Linked DNA regions of Saccharomyces cerevisiae S288C. Changing the gene in region 2 together with the main gene of any one other region gives a genetic interaction. Each region holds a gene or a part of one and is shown on either strand. Other genes may lie near its edges.

Evidence for each region.
Region 1: mutations in RIM21 (region 2) and HXT3 together harm fitness more than expected from each alone (negative genetic interaction), as found in Saccharomyces cerevisiae (2 studies listed by BioGRID).
Region 3: mutations in RIM21 (region 2) and ELP4 together harm fitness more than expected from each alone (negative genetic interaction), as found in Saccharomyces cerevisiae (2 studies listed by BioGRID).
Region 4: mutations in RIM21 (region 2) and ROX1 together harm fitness more than expected from each alone (negative genetic interaction), as found in Saccharomyces cerevisiae (2 studies listed by BioGRID).

What each region holds. Positions count from the first base shown.
Region 1 is NC_001136.10:1,158,399-1,167,091, reverse strand, and holds HXT3 (hexose transporter HXT3), read left to right. Parts: upstream 1-2,431; coding exon 2,432-4,135; downstream 4,136-8,693. Other genes in the region: YDR344C (uncharacterized protein), read left to right, coding at 4,643-5,086; hexose transporter HXT6, read left to right, coding at 5,772-7,484. UniProt on the Saccharomyces cerevisiae protein: Low-affinity glucose transporter.
Region 2 is NC_001146.8:78,159-82,025, reverse strand, and holds RIM21 (Rim21p), read left to right. Parts: upstream 1-1,765; coding exon 1,766-3,367; downstream 3,368-3,867. Other genes in the region: Rab GTPase-activating protein MSB3, read right to left, coding at 1-1,386; MRX6 (Mrx6p), read right to left, coding at 3,506-3,867. UniProt on the Saccharomyces cerevisiae protein: Required for the proteolytic cleavage of the transcription factor RIM101 in response to alkaline ambient pH. Required for growth at alkaline pH.
Region 3 is NC_001148.4:357,830-362,079, forward strand, and holds ELP4 (Elongator subunit ELP4), read left to right. Parts: upstream 1-2,379; coding exon 2,380-3,750; downstream 3,751-4,250. Other genes in the region: FMP30 (N-acetylphosphatidylethanolamine-hydrolyzing phospholipase D), read right to left, coding at 171-1,577; ATG21 (Atg21p), read left to right, coding at 4,043-4,250. UniProt on the Saccharomyces cerevisiae protein: Component of the elongator complex, a multiprotein complex which is required for multiple tRNA modifications, including mcm5U (5-methoxycarbonylmethyl uridine), mcm5s2U (5-methoxycarbonylmethyl-2-thiouridine), and ncm5U (5-carbamoylmethyl uridine).
Region 4 is NC_001148.4:678,144-683,377, forward strand, and holds ROX1 (Rox1p), read left to right. Parts: upstream 1-1,549; coding exon 1,550-2,656; downstream 2,657-5,234. Other genes in the region: YPR063C (uncharacterized protein), read right to left, coding at 1-50, 137-177; YPR064W (uncharacterized protein), read left to right, coding at 808-1,227; NEDD8-activating protein UBA3, read left to right, coding at 3,070-3,969; ISA2 (Isa2p), read left to right, coding at 4,077-4,634; HOS1 (histone deacetylase), read right to left, coding at 4,798-5,234. UniProt on the Saccharomyces cerevisiae protein: Transcription factor that represses the expression of HEM13, COX5B, ANB1, CYC7 or AAC3 (hypoxic function). Binds to the DNA sequence 5'-RRRTAACAAGAG-3'.

The DNA.
Region 1 (8,693 bases), on a different chromosome or scaffold from region 2:
ACATAATCGATACTATTGTTCAAAATAAGAGTGATGCGAGAAATAGCCACAGTAAACAATGTTGCCATAATAAATAGTTGTCGTTTTTATTCATCTCATTTTTCTTATGTATCCATACATATATATATATAATGTAATATAGCCTGAGCAAATGAATAAAGTTTTCGTGGATATCTGCGAAATATACCCTTGCAAGCAAAACAAAAGAACTCTCAGAAAAGGTTATAATACAGGTGCTGGTAGGAGTAAGTACGTTCCTGGGGCTTGGTATTTATCGGGATGAAGTGATCATATGTATTGTTCCAGGTTTAATGAAACACCAAATGTATTTAATCAAAAAGAAAACCTTCCAGACTATTTTAAATGGCTCAAATACAAAATACCGCAACTATGCACTTCGTTTTAGGGATCCATCTAATCTGCAAAGTCGGAAAATGGAAACGATCCTATTGACGCGATCCTTATGGGGTAAATTAAAAAAACCTTCACGTTAGGATACTACAGCTGAAGTAAGCGTCTCACGTAGCGCGCAGTCTATTTTTGGAAGTTAGGGGCTAATGATTTTCTACGGCTGCCGAGCATGGATGATGCCTTTATTTAGAAGCATGTAAAAAAAGCGTCTCAAAACACGGAGAAATGCACTAACAATGGGTATACTAGACTTGTTAAATTCAAATTTCGGCGAAAAGAGACTTGTATTTCATTAGTTACTTTTCGTTCAGTTAAGCATGATCGTCTAGGCGTTCCATTAACTAGTATCTTGGTTCTTTATGTAGTTTGAAGTTATCTCTGTAATTAGGCTCCTCATTTGCCAAAGTTAAGTATTGGATGTGTGTGCAGTATGCTTTCATGCCTCTATAGCAAAAATCAATGGCTCTCAAGAAATTTGTCGTAACCCACTTTAGCATATTTATTTACATTTTGTCGGAATATTATTTCTTCTCTACAGAAAAATGAAAGCAACAGAATTGAATTTCGACAAGTCACAAACAAACTTTGTAGACTTTTTATTACAAAAATTTATTAAGTGACATTCACTACTTGTATTATTGTGAGAGAAGTACATAGCACCGGGAATCTTAGACAGGGTTACTACTAACTACAACCCTCATACTGCCTTACGTAGCCAAACAAGAGCAGTTCTCAGATTACAATGGGAGATCATTTGAAAATATCAAAGATTGATCAAGAATATTTTACTGGTGGCATCCGCCCGCCCTTTAATTTCGGAATTTAGTGCTGCTTACAACTCTTCATTTTCCTCATGCGGGACGCCAGCTTTGGTGCGGGATGAAGGCAATATCCAAACCAGCATCAGGAAAAGCCTGAAGAAATGTGGTGCCTAATGCTCTTATCTAATCTGTATCCACACCTTACAGCGAAGTGTTCAATTAACTGTGCGGCTAATTCTGACACTTCATCAAAAATTACACCGGTATATCAAATGGCGGTGTAGTTTGAAAAGTACACTGTATGTCCATTAATAAAATTACGCCGAAGAACACTGACTAGCTATAAATTCTCTTCCGGCGTCCAATTTCAACCTAAGGCAAGTATTGTTAATCAATAATGCGTGTTGGTAAATATGAAGCCCGATGTTGATTAAGAAGAATTATTCGTATAAGAATTAAGCAAGCAAAATTAAGGAAAATTTTTTCTTTCCTATTCGTCATCGCAGACAGCCTTCATCTTCTCGAGATAACACCTGGAGGAGGAGCAATGAAATGAAAGGAAAAAAAAATACTTTCTTTTTCTTGAAAAAAGAAAAAAATTGTAAGATGAGCTATTCGCGGAACATTCTAGCTCGTTTGCATCTTCTTGCATTTGGTAGGTTTTCAATAGTTCGGTAATATTAACGGATACCTACTATTATCCCCTAGTAGGCTCTTTTCACGGAGAAATTCGGGAGTGTTTTTTTTCCGTGCGCATTTTCTTAGCTATATTCTTCCAGCTTCGCCTGCTGCCCGGTCATCGTTCCTGTCACGTAGTTTTTCCGGATTCGTCCGGCTCATATAATACCGCAATAAACACGGAATATCTCGTTCCGCGGATTCGGTTAAACTCTCGGTCGCGGATTATCACAGAGAAAGCTTCGTGGAGAATTTTTCCAGATTTTCCGCTTTCCCCGATGTTGGTATTTCCGGAGGTCATTATACTGACCGCCATTATAATGACTGTACAACGACCTTCTGGAGAAAGAAACAACTCAATAACGATGTGGGACATTGGGGGCCCACTCAAAAAATCTGGGGACTATATCCCCAGAGAATTTCTCCAGAAGAGAAGAAAAGTCAAAGTTTTTTTTCGCTTGGGGGTTGCATATAAATACAGGCGCTGTTTTATCTTCAGCATGAATATTCCATAATTTTACTTAATAGCTTTTCATAAATAATAGAATCACAAACAAAATTTACATCTGAGTTAAACAATCATGAATTCAACTCCAGATTTAATATCTCCACAAAAGTCAAGTGAGAATTCGAATGCTGACCTGCCTTCGAATAGCTCTCAGGTAATGAACATGCCTGAAGAAAAAGGTGTTCAAGATGATTTCCAAGCTGAGGCCGACCAAGTACTTACCAACCCAAATACAGGTAAAGGTGCATATGTCACTGTGTCTATCTGTTGTGTTATGGTTGCCTTCGGTGGTTTCGTTTTCGGTTGGGATACTGGTACCATTTCTGGTTTCGTCGCCCAAACTGATTTCTTGAGAAGATTCGGTATGAAGCATAAAGATGGTAGTTATTATTTGTCTAAGGTTAGAACTGGTTTAATTGTCTCCATTTTCAACATTGGTTGTGCCATTGGTGGTATTATTTTGGCTAAATTGGGTGATATGTACGGTCGTAAAATGGGTTTGATTGTCGTTGTTGTTATCTACATCATCGGTATTATTATTCAAATTGCATCCATCAACAAATGGTACCAATATTTCATCGGTAGAATTATTTCCGGTTTGGGTGTTGGTGGTATTGCCGTTTTATCTCCTATGTTGATTTCTGAAGTCGCTCCTAAGGAAATGAGAGGTACTTTAGTCTCCTGTTACCAACTGATGATTACCTTGGGTATTTTCTTGGGTTACTGTACCAACTTCGGTACTAAGAACTACTCCAACTCTGTGCAATGGAGAGTTCCATTAGGTTTGTGTTTTGCCTGGGCTTTGTTTATGATCGGTGGTATGACTTTCGTTCCAGAATCCCCACGTTATTTGGTTGAAGCTGGTCAAATTGACGAAGCAAGAGCATCTCTTTCCAAAGTTAACAAGGTTGCCCCAGACCATCCATTCATTCAACAAGAGTTGGAAGTTATTGAAGCTAGTGTTGAAGAAGCTAGAGCTGCTGGTTCAGCATCATGGGGTGAGTTGTTCACTGGTAAGCCGGCCATGTTTAAGCGTACTATGATGGGTATCATGATCCAATCTCTACAACAATTGACTGGTGATAACTATTTCTTCTACTATGGTACTACCGTTTTTAACGCTGTTGGTATGAGTGATTCTTTCGAAACTTCTATTGTTTTCGGTGTCGTCAACTTCTTCTCTACTTGTTGTTCTTTGTACACTGTCGATCGTTTTGGACGTCGTAACTGTTTGTTATATGGTGCCATTGGTATGGTCTGCTGTTATGTAGTTTACGCTTCTGTTGGTGTCACCAGACTATGGCCAAATGGTGAAGGTAATGGTTCATCCAAGGGTGCTGGTAACTGTATGATTGTCTTTGCCTGTTTCTATATTTTCTGTTTTGCTACCACTTGGGCTCCAATTGCTTATGTTGTTATTTCTGAAACTTTCCCATTGAGAGTCAAGTCTAAGGCTATGTCTATTGCTACAGCTGCTAATTGGTTGTGGGGTTTCTTGATTGGTTTCTTCACTCCATTTATTACTGGTGCTATTAACTTCTACTACGGTTACGTTTTCATGGGCTGTATGGTTTTCGCCTACTTCTACGTTTTCTTCTTTGTGCCAGAAACTAAGGGTTTGACTTTGGAAGAAGTCAATGATATGTACGCTGAAGGTGTTCTACCATGGAAGTCTGCTTCATGGGTTCCAACATCTCAAAGAGGTGCTAACTACGATGCTGATGCATTGATGCATGATGACCAGCCATTCTACAAGAAAATGTTCGGCAAGAAATAATTTCACGCTAAACCGTAGTGCTGAATAATAGTGTATTTTAAGATTCGATGTGCTAGTCAATAATGATAAATAATACACAAGATTTATGACTTTATATATATAATTCTCTGATACAGTTAATAAAAGACATTGGTACATGATATCAAACAGAATTTTAACATTTCTTGATCCAGTTTGTAAACAAAACAAACAATTTTTCTACCATTTAACTTCATACCATCGGCGAGAGCCGAACAGGAAAAAAAAGAAGTCTCCGGTTATCGTAAGCAGTATCAAATAATAAGAATGTATGTGTGTGCAATTTGTTATACCCACGAAGAAGTGCGCAGTAGAGTTAGAAAACCAACTGAGTAATCTTTACTCCCGACAATCGTCCAATAATCCTCTTGTTGCTAGGAACGTGATGATGGATTTCGTTTGAAATCCGGACGGAAAACTCAAAAGAAGTCCAACCACCAACCATTTTCGAGCCTCAAGAATCTCTAAGCAGGTTTCTTTACTAAGGGGATGGCCTTTCTGTCCTGGACATTTTTTCCTTCCTTTTTTCATTTCCTTGAAAGGAACAGATTTTTTTTGACTTTTGCCACACAGCTGCACTATCTCAACCCCTTTTACATTTTAAGTTTTCGGGTTGAATGGCATCAAATTTGGGAAAATTTAGCTTACTCAGACACCAACACATTTTTTCATGAGTATTGTTGGAAAATCTTTCCATGCTTATCAGCCGGAATACGGAACAACGGCTGCTGTGATGCCGCAAAGGGGCAAGGAAAAAATAAGCAACACACACCGAAACAGGAGGAAGAAATTCCGAACACAAGCCTAAGAAGACACCGCAGTTGTTGCAACATGTTCACATGTTCATCCCCCTGCTACTACTTGGAAATTAATGTAGGGGTAATTGGAGTGCGCCGGCCCGTGCTTTCAGAGGAACAAAGGAAGAATTGTTAAAAAAAGGCAGTGACAACGAGCACGGGTGCACCATATGGTGTGATAAGCAACCTAGGACAAAAAGAAGTGCGCAGTTCCTGTGTGCGGCGCCAAGACAAATGTTTCATATGCTTCTCCAAGGGGCTACGCTACCTAGCCTCACCACCCGATCTCTTTTTTTCCTGAACGCAGAGGGGACCGTACGAAAAAAAATGTTTTTTAGGCAACGGAGATTCGTTTTATCCACGTTTACCCCACAAAAAGTGCAGGTACATTGTGGGGCCCCGGCATCGAAAACCAGTTTTTTTCCTTTAAACGCTGGAAAAAAAGGAGAAATTATTGGAACTTTGCAGAGAATAGTCCGTAGGCAAATTGAAAATGTTCCTTAAAAAATTTCGTTTCTTACTCATTGAGATTATTCAGATGCCCTCCGTGCCTTCATTGAAAAAAATCCAAGAGATGTCTCGGATCTGTATGCAGATTTTGGCTTGCAGACAATGGAGAGCAAATGGGTATACAATATAGAAAGCACAGAAACATATAAAAAGAGCTCGAGAAAAGACATATGGTTTGTAACTATCTTCTTCTTTTTTCCAATTTTTCTGTTTTAATAATAAAAAAACAAGAACAAACAAGCTCAACTTGTCTTTTCTAAGAACAAAGAATAAACACAAAAACAAAAAGTTTTTTTAATTTTAATCAAAAAATGTCACAAGACGCTGCTATTGCAGAGCAAACTCCTGTGGAGCATCTCTCTGCTGTTGACTCAGCCTCCCACTCGGTTTTATCTACACCATCAAACAAGGCTGAAAGAGATGAAATAAAAGCTTATGGTGAAGGTGAAGAGCACGAACCTGTCGTTGAAATTCCAAAGAGACCAGCTTCTGCCTATGTCACTGTCTCTATTATGTGTATCATGATCGCCTTTGGTGGTTTCGTTTTCGGTTGGGATACTGGTACCATTTCTGGTTTCATCAATCAAACCGATTTCATCAGAAGATTTGGTATGAAGCATAAAGATGGTACTAATTATTTGTCTAAGGTTAGAACTGGTTTGATTGTCTCCATTTTCAACATTGGTTGTGCCATTGGTGGTATTATTCTTTCCAAATTGGGTGATATGTACGGTCGTAAGGTGGGTTTGATTGTCGTTGTTGTCATCTACATCATCGGTATTATTATTCAAATTGCATCTATCAACAAATGGTACCAATATTTCATCGGTAGAATTATTTCCGGTTTGGGTGTTGGTGGTATTGCCGTTTTATCTCCTATGTTGATTTCTGAAGTATCCCCAAAGCATTTAAGGGGTACTTTAGTCTCTTGCTACCAATTGATGATTACTGCCGGTATTTTCTTGGGTTACTGTACCAACTTCGGTACTAAGAACTACTCCAACTCTGTGCAATGGAGAGTTCCATTAGGTTTGTGTTTTGCCTGGGCTTTGTTTATGATTGGTGGTATGACATTTGTTCCAGAGTCTCCACGTTATTTGGCTGAAGTCGGTAAGATCGAAGAAGCCAAACGTTCTATTGCCGTTTCTAACAAGGTTGCTGTTGATGATCCATCTGTTTTGGCTGAAGTCGAAGCTGTCTTGGCTGGTGTAGAGGCAGAGAAATTAGCTGGTAATGCATCCTGGGGTGAATTGTTTAGTAGCAAGACAAAGGTCCTTCAGCGTTTGATCATGGGTGCTATGATTCAATCTCTACAACAATTGACAGGTGATAACTATTTCTTCTACTATGGTACTACTATTTTCAAGGCTGTTGGTTTGAGTGACTCTTTCGAAACCTCTATTGTCTTGGGTATTGTTAACTTTGCTTCCACCTTTGTTGGTATTTACGTTGTTGAGAGATATGGTCGTCGTACTTGTTTGCTATGGGGTGCTGCATCCATGACTGCTTGTATGGTTGTCTATGCTTCCGTGGGTGTCACCAGATTATGGCCAAATGGTCAAGACCAACCATCTTCCAAGGGTGCTGGTAACTGTATGATTGTCTTTGCCTGTTTCTATATTTTCTGTTTTGCTACTACATGGGCTCCAATTCCTTATGTCGTTGTTTCTGAAACTTTCCCATTGAGAGTCAAGTCTAAGGCTATGTCTATTGCTACAGCTGCTAATTGGTTGTGGGGTTTCTTGATTGGTTTCTTCACTCCATTTATTACTGGTGCTATTAACTTCTACTACGGTTACGTTTTCATGGGCTGTTTGGTCTTCATGTTCTTCTATGTTTTGTTAGTTGTTCCAGAAACTAAGGGTTTGACTTTGGAAGAAGTCAACACCATGTGGGAAGAAGGTGTTCTACCATGGAAGTCTGCCTCATGGGTTCCACCATCTAGAAGAGGTGCCAACTACGACGCTGAAGAAATGGCTCACGATGATAAGCCATTGTACAAGAGAATGTTCAGCACCAAATAATTTGCGAACATTTTTATTAATTCATGATCACGCTCTAATTTGTGCATTTGAAATGCACTCTAATTCTGATTTTATATTTTTAATGAACCCTTACGATTTATATTGTATGGCAAGATGTTGCCAATAGAAGTATAATTTTTTATTAATTTTTTTTCTTTTCTAAGCTTTGAAGAAAAGTTAACAGCTTTACCCTTCAAAGTTATTGTTTTGTAGCGCTAGAAGCGAAGTAGGCGCTCTTTCTCGCATAAGCTACCTTAGGAGGAAAAAAAAAGTCTTCTATTATAAACAAAGTACTCTATAATTCATCAAAAAAATTAATTATGAGCCGGAGCTTTTCACAATCAGTGTACATATGCAGGGCTCACCTCGGTACTGCGCTTTTCTACCTGAAATTAAATAGAGTCACCTCATTACAATGAAGCTACTAAACTCCTCAATGTTAAACTGGCATTGCGACAGAGTAGAGAAGGCTTGTCAATAAACCTGAATTTTTGGTAATAAAAAGAAAATGGGGATCATATTAGGCCTTTATGATCATCCTTGGCAAACTACATCCCATATATGTTTGAAAAAGGGTTAATGATATGAAAATGTTTTTATTTAATAAGAAATGATGTACTACTGGCGGCGATTGGTAAAGAGGATCTAAGTTTTCTTTCCTGGCAGATGATAAACAGTTAGCATTCCCCAAAAAAAATAATTTCACCTTGTTAAAAAGGTAATTTGCGAGAAAACATGAACAGTCTGCCCCTTAATGAACAGTTTTTGGCCAAAGTCCTATTCGAATATATTTTAGTGGAAGAAAATCTTGTAGGCTGTAAACTTATTGATAGGCCCATTTGGTACTATTATATGTTATTTCAGCAACAATTTATGGAAAGGTTGCCGTAAGTAACCTTTAGATGGCAGGAAGGAAAAAAATCATGCTTTAAGAGTGGCTTCAGTAGCTAAAAAGGTAGTATACATCGCACAGTGAATATTCGCCCCAATGGACGGAAAAGTTCATGCAAGATTAAACGCAGTACCAGAAAGCCGCGTTTGTATGGTTTTATTGGCGTCCATACAAATAACTTATTAGCGGGGTGACAATTCAGAGACAATTCTAATGTCGAAAAGTGTACCATCACTAAAGTATTCCAGGGACTTCTGCCCACCACGTAGAAACGCGTTGTTGAATTATTTGACACAGTAATTTACCTAACTGGTCAA
Region 2 (3,867 bases):
TTTGAATAGAAAATGTGATTCCTCGTAAAACAGACAATCCCATATTCTAAGCGTGGTCTCTATCGGCACTACACCGACAAAGCAACTCATGAACCAGCTCGCCGTGCACAAAGTAATGGGCGGAAGTCTGTACAAGAACTCATTCTTTTGCATATTGAATAAAACTTTTTTATTTGACGGAGAAAAAGTTTTGTTATTTTTTTGGTGGTGGTCAATGGAAGGCTTAATGTACGACCAAACTTCTGGAATATATTCTTTGACACATAGCATCAGTACCCCTTGGTCGATGTTAACACCTTCTAGATTGATATTATGCACCCCCGGTAGGTATCTTGAAGTAATAATCACTAGCATCCAAAAGGCCCTTTCCTCGTCTAAAAATAACAATAGCAAGCCTGCAAGAAAGTTCATAGATTGACAATAGCCAATCTTCGGATTGTAGAGAGAGAACGCAACAAGCACCCGGCGTAAAGATTTTATAATCGGAGGTCCCTCTTTGTTATGCAAGCTACTTTGGAAATGTATATTGTCCGGAAATGTTCTATTCAAGTCACGTTCAATAATATCCAAGTCTTGAACTTGTTTTTCATTAGGGTTTTGTTTCTTGATCTGCTTCATCTTTCGTAAAAGTTGTGAATAGACGCCTTTATTCTTGTTTAACTTCTCTTGCCCTCTAGCGAAATGCCACCATGCATTTCCTCTCCATTCCGCTGGAATGCCCTTTCTGACATACCTTTTTAACCGTTCACTCTTTGATGGAAATCGTGAAGGAGAATCATCGGTCACTGGCAACCCACTTTTCTCCAACAGCAATTGCCATTTGTGCTTACGGCGAACGCAGTACTGCGAATATTCTACCCACCACTTATCGTATTCTGCTTCAGATATGTAATTATTCTGTTTTTTGAAACCGTATCGATCAAAATGGGTATTGTTGATTCCATTGGAATTCGCACTTGTGGCACTAGCGGCACCCTCCAATTCTACACGCTGACGGTTGTCATCATCAGGAACCAAATCGAGGTCATCACTGTGCACTTCCTCCAGATCTTCGTTACCATTATCGCCATTATTATCATCATCATCCTCTCCTTCGGCACGTTGGGATTCCACTTCGTCTCCATACAGGTCAATAACGCTTAAATTCCCATCATGTTCAGAGGGGGATGCTTGGCCCAAACAACTTGGTTCCACAGAGCGATGATCATTCGCTCTAAAGCTTCCGTTCACCAGAGCTGAGTCGCTAGAACTATGATCTGAATGCATTTTATCATGAAAGTTAGGAACAGACGGTGATTTCACCGTAAATGCCCCTCCTAGCCTTTTGTATGGATGCGCCAGTACCGTCCTATTTTGCAGGGAGAACCTCTGTTGATCGTTCTGCATGCTAATTACAATGGTTCTGGGTGCGCAACTCTTTGACTCCTACAAAGCTTCTAGATGTCCCTTTAGCTATTTTTAGCTACTTTCTTTCTACGTGACATAAACGAGGTTTGATCCTGTTAATTCTGATACTGCCCGAACAGAAAAATAGCAGCTATTGAAAGAGAAGATGGAACCCGTTGTATCGGCGAGTAAAGATAAGTACTTTAGAAGAGCAACCCACATCGTTTAGTTACAAGAAAGACAAAAGACTGGTACTACAGATTCGGTGTCCTTTACCTGTTTTCTTCTTTCCTGTGCGCACTTAATCAGTCATTTTAGACTATCGTTTTTAGTAGCACATAAGGAGGAAGACACTCGATGAATAGTCGATTCTGCAAACATGAACTTGTGGAGACATAGTCCAGAAGAATTGGCTGCTTACAATAGCTGTCATCCAATGAAGCTAGGTTCAGGGGTGCTGATACAATTGCCTCTTTATGACAATTCGGCAGTATATGCAGAAGATATTACTTTTAGGAGTTTCTGCTGTGAAAGAGTGCCCGTTTATGTATCTACGGTGCTAAGAAACTCTTCCCCATATAGGTATCTTGATGAGGTGATCAATGACTGGCAAAAATTCATTCAAGTAAGCGATTATGTCGGCGGTTCTGCTGAGTATGCGATTTATGCTGTGATTTTGTCGATAACTTCTAATTTTGTCATCACAGTGTTCCTGACTGTGATATGCTGTATAAATATCAGCGGGCGCGCATATAAGAGAATTCTACAACTACTGAGGATAGCCTCGTTGTTAGCCTCGTTGAACTTAACGATTTTTATCACGAAGGTGTTGCGGAGATTGGAAAAAGAGCACAATGTCTATGGTGTCGTTCGGGCTCATTCCATTATGCACATCTTTTCCGATGATATGACATTTGTTGTCTTGGATTTCTTGGCTACTTTAATGTTCCAATTTTGCCAAGTCGGCATTGTCATTAGGCTATTTCAAAGAGCTCAGGAAAAGAGAATAATTTTTTTTATTGGGGTGATATTAACAATAACCGCAAATATTTTATGGGTAATTCCACCGTTTGCTAACCATACTACAAAACACAGAAATGACTGGCAGATTCTGCGGCCATTTGTTTACCTTTTCCGTATTGCCATCGCCACGTCATATGCATCAATCGTCATTTATCACATCTGGCAGAAAAAAAAATTGTGGTTTAAATTCAATCAAATGGGTTTACTTACGCTATTGACTATTCTTGTGGTGCTTCTATTACCGGGTTTCTTCCTTGCCGATGTGTCGAACTTATGGATATCGGAACTGGGTGAAGTGTTTAACACGACATGCTATGTCACTTCGACCGTGATCACATGGGAGTGGCTGGATAGATTAAATGTTTTGGAAAGAAAAGAGGAAGCGCAAAGCATTTTGGGAAGACCTATCTTCGAGGAAGAGCAACAAGACTATCGGTTTGCCAAGTACGCCTTAAGGGTTCAAAACGCTTTAACCAGGAGGGAATCTCAGGACGCATCAACGGATCGGCACGATACGTCAAGTAATTCGGAAGTATGTGATTTACAGACCATATCACGCTACGACCCAGAAGATCAGATATCAGTGGGCAGAAGCATTGATCGAATGCATTTCAATGATAGGGGAACTTATAAAGATGTAGCGCTGAAGAAATTAGGCTATGCGCGTGATAAAATTTTATACTTTACAGACCAAATCGTCCAGAAAAGCGTAGGCCACAATAATAGCAGCAGCTCGAAAAATGAAAAAACCAAACAGAGAAAGGCCATGGTCAGGAAACGGTTGGGATTAGACAAACCAGGCATATACATTTATTCGACAAAGGATGTCGTTTTCAATTCAGATGAAGATGACGATGAGAACGCGGAAGATGAAGATGACGATGAATATGAAGTTGGCAGTGAAGGCAATAACAATAGCTCTGCCACTTTTACCAGCGACCATATAGGCCATATTTGAAGGACACAGCAGAAACAGTATTACAACAAACCTACATATTTATATATTCCATGCATGCTCAAGATGCATATGCATAATATTTACACGAATTGCGAATATGTCACATAATAGAGCAGTGGATAAGTACTCAATGCAAAATCACTCATAGTAGTCCCATTCTTCAAATGCAGTTTCCAATAATTGTGTATTCAAATTAGTGGGATACCTCGTATACCTCACGCCGCTCCTAGTAACAACATACTTGTCATTGAAGCTGACTTGAACGTCCTTATGTATAGTCCTCCCCCAAAAGGTATTGTGCCTCTTGGTGTATCTTAACCAATGCATTCTCTTGAAATTATGAATCGGACTTGGTTGAATAATACAATCTACGCCATCTTGGAAAAAATATGTGGATGGTACTTCATCTGATAACCGCACTATGATTTTTTCAATATACGCCTTGATTTTGTTTTCAAATTTCTTAGAGTCTCTGGAATTTGTTAAAGTTGACAATATCG
Region 3 (4,250 bases), on a different chromosome or scaffold from region 2:
CATTAATTGTAATTTCTTTATAACATCTTATTGGATATCATACGAATGTTTTTAAATTACAAAATCATTAAATCATAAAATGTTCAGTGAGTACAATCTCCCAAAGTCTACGTTTACTGTAATTTATCGCTATTTACAGGGACGCTGCAGCTTAAATATTAGCGCCTAAGTTAGTCGAAGCATTCTGTCTTGCCCAATTCTGGACAGTAGCAGCGGTCTTTAAACCCACCCCACTCGGCCAACATTTCTAATTTTTCCTTTGGCTCTAAGAAATATTCTCCGCTTAATACAAAGGTCCCCCAATGAACGCCTAATACATTTCGAGCTTCTAGATCTTTCATAATCTTGAGAACCTCTTGAGGATTAATATGTCGTGGTTTTTGGTGCCACTCAGGGCAATACTGACCACATGGAAGCAGCGCTAATTTACAACCTTTGCCAAAGCGTTCTTTAATTCTAACGAATAAATCTTTCACATATCCAGTGTCACCAGCATGAAAAAGTATGGGATTACCATGGTGTGTTAATAAAAAGGAGCACCATAGAGACTTGTTCGTATCTAAGAGCGATCTCCCAGACCAATGCATGGCAGGAGTAGCCGATATGTGGTATATCTCATTGTTTTTCTTTACTTGCAAAGTTTCCCACCAAGATAATTCTAGGACATTATCACAGCCGTTACTTGTCATATAAGATTTCATTCCTTTAGGTACTATCCATAAGGGAGAGTCTTTGCCACTCCAGTATTCCAAGCTTTCTAAATCCAGGTGATCGGGGTGATTATGGGATACAAGGATGATATCTGGTTTGGGCACCTCTGTAATTTGAGATGGCATTTGAGTAATTCTTTTAGGACCCAGGGTCTTGTGGATAAGAAAGTCACTGAACAGAGGATCAGTAAGTATCCTCAATCCATTATAAACCGTGTAGTTACAGGACTGGCCCAGCCATGTGTTATAGACTGGGCACTTTGATCCTTCATTTTCTTCTACTGCAGTCGGTATGTGCAATTCGTCTAACACTTTGCATTCTAGCGGCAATGCCGTTTCCTCTGCGGGGTCGACGTCCACTAAGTTAGGCCCCCATGTTGGCTTGTGTACAGGCATTAACTTATTCATTTGGTGTACATCACGTGGAATACCTCCCCTATTTCTTTCAAATAATTCGAACACTCTATTTGCAAAGAATTCAAAAACGGTCTGAATCCTGTATTCTTCGAACGGGTTCTCAAATCTGCCTAAAACTTCCAAAGGGCTATATTTTAGCAAGGATCCCTTATAAGTGACCTCGTTATTATTCTCCTCTAATCTTTGACACATTTCGTTTCTTAAATCAATTTGCTTCACTGTAGCCAATGATACATAAAACGCATATCCTGTGTAAGGTACCAAAACAGACAACAGAAGTATACGTGCGTATTTTCTCGAGCATTTTTGTATAGGGCGTGTCTTTTGCGAAGCATGTCTTTTGAAAGTTGACAATGATGTCTGGGGTCTAAACAGCTCTGATTCTCGTAAACGCACTAGTCTCCTTTGGAGAAGAAGCCTCATCTGAACATGGCAGGTAACAAAATTCATTTGCAACACAAGCAGGCATGCAATCCTTCAGTAATTGGAGTGCTACTGTTCACACCATATTCTCGCTATTCTCGAACTACGTTTTTTTTTTTTTGTTAAGCATCAGTAGTGAGTCTTCGGGAACTGCTTAACGACAGTAAAGGAAAAAAAAAACTAGCAGCTGTTGATAATATTCAGAAAATGAACGCAGAAGGAATCATTAGCTAAAAAGTTTATTATTAAAATCAGACATATATCTCATTATAATATTTTTTTTTTATAATACCACCATTTGTTCTCATATAATACTGATAAATATCGCATCGAATGGAAAAGACAAATAGGAGGCCGCTATTGTAATTTGGGCCTTAACCTATTTATTCTCTCTCTTTTAATTGATATTTTAATCTTTTTGAAGCCTACAATGTATTTTGGGCGATAATCAAGGAGAATATCAGTGTCATATACTCACTGTGGTAAATGTATTTCTAAAGTAGTTCCAATTCTTTCTTCAAAAAAGGCCACTAGACGATGTGCTTTCTTGCACAAGCATTTTGCTGGGCTATCTTCAATAGTGATAATTCTAACTAACTCAAAACCAGATGGCAAGTTCTTCCCTATGGTCGACTTCTCTCAGACGCAATAGTAGCTATGTTATTGATGGCTTTTGACGCCAGACCGGGTAAAGCGCATGGAATGAACTCTAAACTGTTAAAATAACAAAAACGACATATGAAGATGTCGATGAGGCTGGATAGTTTAGAGATGAGGTGCAGAGAACAACATTGTATAACAAATTCGGCTCCCAAATATCGCATGTACCATGTCATTTCGTAAAAGAGGTGAAATACTGAACGATAGAGGTAGCGGGCTAAGAGGTCCACTGTTAAGAGGTCCTCCACGAACTTCCTCAACGCCATTGAGGACAGGCAACAGAAGAGCCCCTGGAAATGTGCCCTTGTCTGACACTACAGCGAGATTAAAGAAGTTGAATATTGCGGACGAATCCAAGACAAAAATGGGGCTGGATAGCTCCCATGTGGGCGTTAGACCTTCTCCTGCAACCTCTCAGCCGACGACATCAACTGGGAGTGCTGACCTGGACAGTATACTAGGCCATATGGGGCTGCCGCTGGGAAACTCTGTACTAGTAGAGGAGCAGAGCACGACAGAATTTCACTCTATTCTCGGTAAACTGTTTGCCGCACAGGGTATCGTTCATAATAGAATTTCAGATAGCAGTGCTGATAAAACTAGAAACGGCGACACTCATGTCATTGTCTTGTCATTGAACCAAATGTTTGCAAAGGAGCTACCTGGTATCTACAAGGGATCACGTAAACAAATGAAGAAAAACCTAATCTCTGAAGAAGAATCAAAAGTTACTGTTCAAAATTTGAACGAGACCCAGAGATCGACGCCTTCCAGGTACAAAGACCTGAAAATTGCATGGAAATATAAACTGGCAGATGAAAAGAGATTGGGTTCTCCGGATCGAGATGACATCCAACAAAATTCTGAGTACAAGGACTACAATCATCAGTTTGATATTACAACGCGTCTGATGCCCGCTCCCATAGCATCTGAACTGACATTTATCGCCCCAACTCAACCTGTCTCCACTATTTTGAGCCAAATAGAACAGACTATTAAAAGGAATGACAAGAAACTGATAAGAATTGTTATTCCTTCCCTTCTACATCCGGCAATGTATCCGCCCAAAATGTTTGAATCATCTGAAATAATAGGTTTAATGCACGGTGTGAGGAGTCTTGTCAAGAAATACTATGAGCGGGTTGTACTGTTTGCTTCCATATCCATAGACATTATCACTCCCCCATTACTGGTATTGCTGAGAAACATGTTCGATTCTGTTATCAATCTAGAACCCTTTAACCAGGAGATGACTGAGTTCTTAGAACGTGTTTATAAATCGCAACCGGGGAAGATTCAACATGGGCTAGTCCACATATTGAAATTACCAGTTTTCACGGACCGTGGAGAGATGAGAGTTTTAAAGTCTGAATGGGCATTTAAGAATGGCAGAAAAAAGTTTGAAATAGAACAATGGGGCATACCCGTGGATGATGCTGAAGGTTCAGCTGCCTCGGAACAGTCACATTCACACTCGCACTCGGATGAAATCTCACATAATATACCTGCAAAGAAGACCAAGATATCTTTAGACTATTAAGAATATGGTTCAATTTATGGGAAATATACGGCATGCTTTTTAACAAGCGTGGTGAATGTATTATTTTTTTATCTGTTATATCTTAAATACGACTATTATATATATATCCATCGTCTTTTTCCTGACTCTAAGCGGTGGCAGCTGGAAGGTAGAAAAAGGTATCGCCTAGATGTCAAAATATGAAAAAGTGAAATGAATATTAACAAAAAAGGAGCGTGAGCTGCAGAAAGAATTTGACCAACAAAAGACAATTCCACTCCTTTGGATTTGAAATAGACAGATAGAAAAGGATATGAAAGTATTACAATTCAATCAAGATGCAACGTGCTGTGTGGTGGCCGCGTCATCGCATCAGATTTCGATTTTTAACTGCGACCCCTTTGGTAAATGTTTTGAAATTGACACTAAGAATTCCAAGAAGAAGACTTCAAACAATAACGGTTCAGCTTCAAACTCAGAATCACGGAATAATGAGGAGAGCATATTAATAACTAATGGCT
Region 4 (5,234 bases), on a different chromosome or scaffold from region 2:
TGCTTGGTGTGGCAGAATATAGTCCTTTTGGTGGCGCAATTTTCTTGTACCTGTGGTAGAAAGGGAGCGGTTGAACTGTTAGTATATATTGGCAATATCAGCAAATTTGAAAGAAAATTGTCGGTGAAAAACATACGAAACACAAAGGTCGGGCCTTGCAACGTTATTCAAAGTCATTGTTTAGTTGAGGAGGTAGCAGCGGAGTATATGTATTCCTTTTTTTTGCCTATGGATGTTGTACCATGCCCATTCTGCTCAAGCTTTTGTTAAAATTATTTTTCAGTATTTTTTCTTCCATGTTGCGCGTTACGAGAACAGAAGCGACAGATAACCGCAATCATACAACTAGCGCTACTGCGGGGTGTAAAAAGCACAAGAACTAAGCCAAGATCACAACAGTTATCGATAAAATAGCAGTGTTTGCATGGCCATTGAGAAGGACAACATTGGCGTGCGCGCCAATGTTGTCTCACCATGTAGCTCCAAACGAGTTGTAAGAGACGGACCGCTCACGCTTCCGAAGCGGTCAGAAAACGCTTCCCAGTATGCAGTTGACCTACATTCAACCTGCAAATATTGCTTTGCTTCAAGAAATGATTACACAGACGTCTATTTTCTTCTACATAATGCACGAAACTTGGGCATTTAGTCATGTAGCCGCCTAGCGAGCCTGGGTGCCGTCCTATCTCCTTTGTTCGTGCAAAGAGACAGGAACACACACTGCGTTCTCTTGCGGCCGGTCTGGCGGACTCAGGGGTGCGGCGTTTGCTTAACCGGAGGGAATAATAAAATCGGGGTGACGCAAGTATGAAGTCATGTGTGCTTAGCAATTACGTAGAGGGATTAGAAATAATAGTGTGCGGTTATCGGAACCGGCTCTTGTTCCCGTTTAGAGCAACCCAGGTGCAGGCGTACTTTAAAGTATTTTCTTTCTTTTTTTTCCTGCTACTTACGCTAGGAGCTGCCGCAGCTGCAAAGCCGACGTCGGAGAGGCAGGTGATCTTCGGCTCGGCCGACAAATCCCCTGGATATCATTGGCCTGTCGAGGTATCGGCCGCGTGGAACTACCGGGAATTACTATGCAAAACAATTGGAAATCTGGTAGGAAAACCTTGTTCTAGAACTTGGCGATTGCTGACAAAGAAGAAAAGGGCCTATTGTTGCTGCCTCTTTTGTTGTTCTTCCTCGTATTGTCTTGCCGGTGTTCTTTGTGTCTTTTGTGTGTAGGTTCTTACTATTATAGTGCTCTTTGCTATTATATTTTCTTCGTTTTCACTTTGCGTAATGTAACGGTCTTAAACAAAGTTTTTTTTTTTTCGCTCTTGCATTTTCCTTTTCTGCTCTATCTTATTTGCTAATTGTAGTTTCAGAAGTTTTACTTAAATATAGCACTATTTTCCAGTTTTAATGTTTCTTCTCATTGCTTTCTTTTATAATTTTCGCATATAATTATACATTTACGGTGTCTTAACTCTCCCTCTTCACCCCTCATTATTCCAGAAAATACTAATACTTCTTCACACAAAAGAACGCAGTTAGACAATCAACAATGAATCCTAAATCCTCTACACCTAAGATTCCAAGACCCAAGAACGCATTTATTCTGTTCAGACAGCACTACCACAGGATCTTAATAGACGAATGGACCGCTCAAGGTGTGGAAATACCCCATAATTCAAACATTTCTAAAATTATTGGTACGAAGTGGAAGGGCTTACAACCGGAAGATAAGGCACACTGGGAAAATCTAGCGGAGAAGGAGAAACTAGAACATGAAAGGAAGTATCCTGAATACAAATACAAGCCGGTAAGAAAGTCTAAGAAGAAGCAACTACTTTTGAAGGAAATCGAGCAACAGCAGCAGCAACAACAGAAAGAACAGCAGCAGCAGAAACAGTCACAACCGCAATTACAACAGCCCTTTAACAACAATATAGTTCTTATGAAAAGAGCACATTCTCTTTCACCATCTTCCTCGGTGTCAAGCTCGAACAGCTATCAGTTCCAATTGAACAATGATCTTAAGAGGTTGCCTATTCCTTCTGTTAATACTTCTAACTATATGGTCTCCAGATCTTTAAGTGGACTACCTTTGACGCATGATAAGACGGCAAGAGACCTACCACAGCTGTCATCTCAACTAAATTCTATTCCATATTACTCAGCTCCACACGACCCTTCAACGAGACATCATTACCTCAACGTCGCTCAAGCTCAACCAAGGGCTAACTCGACCCCTCAATTGCCCTTTATTTCATCCATTATCAACAACAGCAGTCAAACACCGGTAACTACAACTACCACATCCACAACAACTGCGACATCTTCTCCTGGGAAATTCTCCTCTTCTCCGAACTCCTCTGTACTGGAGAACAACAGATTAAACAGTATCAACAATTCAAATCAATATTTACCTCCCCCTCTATTACCTTCTCTGCAAGATTTTCAACTGGATCAGTACCAGCAGCTAAAGCAGATGGGACCAACTTATATTGTCAAACCACTGTCTCACACCAGGAACAATCTATTGTCCACAACTACCCCTACGCATCATCACATTCCTCATATACCAAACCAAAACATTCCTCTACATCAAATTATAAACTCAAGCAACACTGAGGTCACCGCTAAAACTAGCCTAGTTTCTCCGAAATGATTTTTTTTTTCCATTTCTTCTTTCCGTTATATTATATTATACTATATTCCCTTTAACTAAAAATTTATGCATTTGGCTCCTGTTTAATAAAAGTTTAAATCGCCTCAAAAGAACAATTGAAAAATATGTAAAATAACAGCAAATAAAAGTCAAAATTAAAACAAAGTACCCAGAGACAAAAAAGAAAGAAAAGAAAAAAGAAACAGTCTACAAATTCTATTTGAATATATAAAATTATATTCTCAATTTTCACGTATATATTCACCTCACAAATAATATCATTCCTTTAAAAAAAAATATGTATTATTGTATAATGTTTCAGCATAGTCGTTTTTTAAGCCCTTTTTTTTAAACTTAAAAAACAAATCAATGAGATATTGTATACCTATATTATCGATAATAAAGCGACGAGGATGGACTGCAAGATATTGGTGTTAGGCGCAGGTGGTCTAGGATGCGAAATCCTGAAGAATTTGACAATGTTAAGCTTTGTTAAACAGGTTCATATTGTAGATATAGACACAATCGAGCTAACCAACCTTAATAGACAATTTCTTTTTTGTGATAAGGACATAGGCAAACCGAAAGCTCAAGTGGCAGCCCAGTATGTAAACACGCGGTTCCCTCAATTGGAAGTTGTGGCGCACGTACAGGACCTGACCACTTTGCCCCCGAGCTTTTACAAAGACTTCCAGTTCATAATCTCGGGGCTGGACGCCATTGAACCTCGTCGCTTCATCAATGAGACTCTCGTGAAGCTTACCTTGGAGTCCAATTATGAAATTTGCATCCCGTTCATAGATGGTGGAACAGAGGGGCTCAAGGGACATGTAAAAACAATCATTCCAGGCATCACTGCATGCTGGGAGTGCTCCATTGATACCTTGCCCTCGCAGCAGGATACTGTGCCAATGTGTACAATCGCCAACAATCCTCGCTGCATTGAGCATGTTGTGGAGTATGTCTCAACTATACAATACCCTGATTTAAATATTGAGTCTACGGCGGATATGGAATTTCTGCTGGAGAAGTGCTGCGAAAGGGCTGCCCAATTTAGCATCTCAACAGAAAAATTATCAACAAGTTTTATCCTGGGTATAATAAAGAGTATCATACCTAGTGTAAGCACTACGAATGCGATGGTTGCAGCGACATGCTGTACGCAGATGGTTAAGATTTATAATGATTTAATCGACCTGGAAAACGGCAATAATTTCACTTTGATTAACTGCTCAGAAGGGTGTTTTATGTACAGTTTCAAGTTCGAGCGGTTACCCGACTGTACTGTTTGTTCAAATTCCAATTCCAACTAGTATTACTAATGAATAATACCATCCGCCGGTGTCACTTGTTTAAACATCTTGCAAGTAAGTCGAGATCCTAGAGAGCCTTGTACATGTGATTGCACAGTAAAGAAGGTATGCAGGCTAAATTATTGTTTACCAGACTAAACTTTAGACGTCCCTCCACAACTTTACGCCAGTTTCCCCTAACATGTTTTTTATTTCATAGCAAAGCATTTTACTCGGATCTGGTCACTAAGGAGCCGTTGATCACACCGAAAAGAATAATAAATAAGACGCCTGGGTTAAACTTATCTATTTCTGAGAGGGCTTCCAACAGACTAGCTGAGATCTACCGCAATAGTAAGGAAAATTTAAGAATTAGTGTGGAAAGTGGTGGATGTCACGGTTTCCAGTACAATCTAACTCTAGAACCCGCTACCAAGCCAGATATTAAGAATGATGTCAAAGACAAGGAGTTTTCAGACGACCTTGACGATGATGATTCCAAGGATATAATATACGTGTTACCCGAAGATAAGGGTCGAGTGATAATTGATAGTAAATCACTAAACATTTTGAATAACACTACACTGACATACACTAATGAGTTGATCGGTTCTTCGTTCAAAATCATCAATGGTAGCCTAAAAAGTAGTTGTGGTTGTGGAAGTAGTTTTGATATTGAAAATTAAGCTGTATTATATTCATCCCTGTATATAGCATGCCCAGCTGCCAAGCATTTTTTTACTTAATTGTCTCTATTATATATTTGAAAACCTAGCAAGAGCATTACGGGATAAAACGCTGCGGCGTTCGCATTATTAATTTGTATTCAAACGACTAATTAAAACTATCTTACAGTTCGTAAAACTTCATAAGTTCGACCATATCTCTATCCTTATTGTCATTCCTTAACATTTTCATTCGAGAACTTCCTTCCATCTCATATATCCAATACTGATAGTTCTCTTCATTATACATTTCAACAAGATCATGTTCACGTATAAATTGTTCAGAATCATCACCATCACAGACATCAAATGGATCGATTTGGAACGAATTATTGTCACCACATCTTAAGTTGGAAAACTGCTTTGTAACACACCAAGTCAAGTACGTATAAAATCTACTCATTAGTAAATCGTTGTACCCACCCCCTCCAAGTAGGAATATGTGCGCTCGAGGATAACTTTTCATGATATTTATGATGATTCGAGAAAGCCCTCGTATTGTTAGCTGCCATTCATTGAATCTATCACCCAGAAGCCCATCACCACCACATTCAATTATTA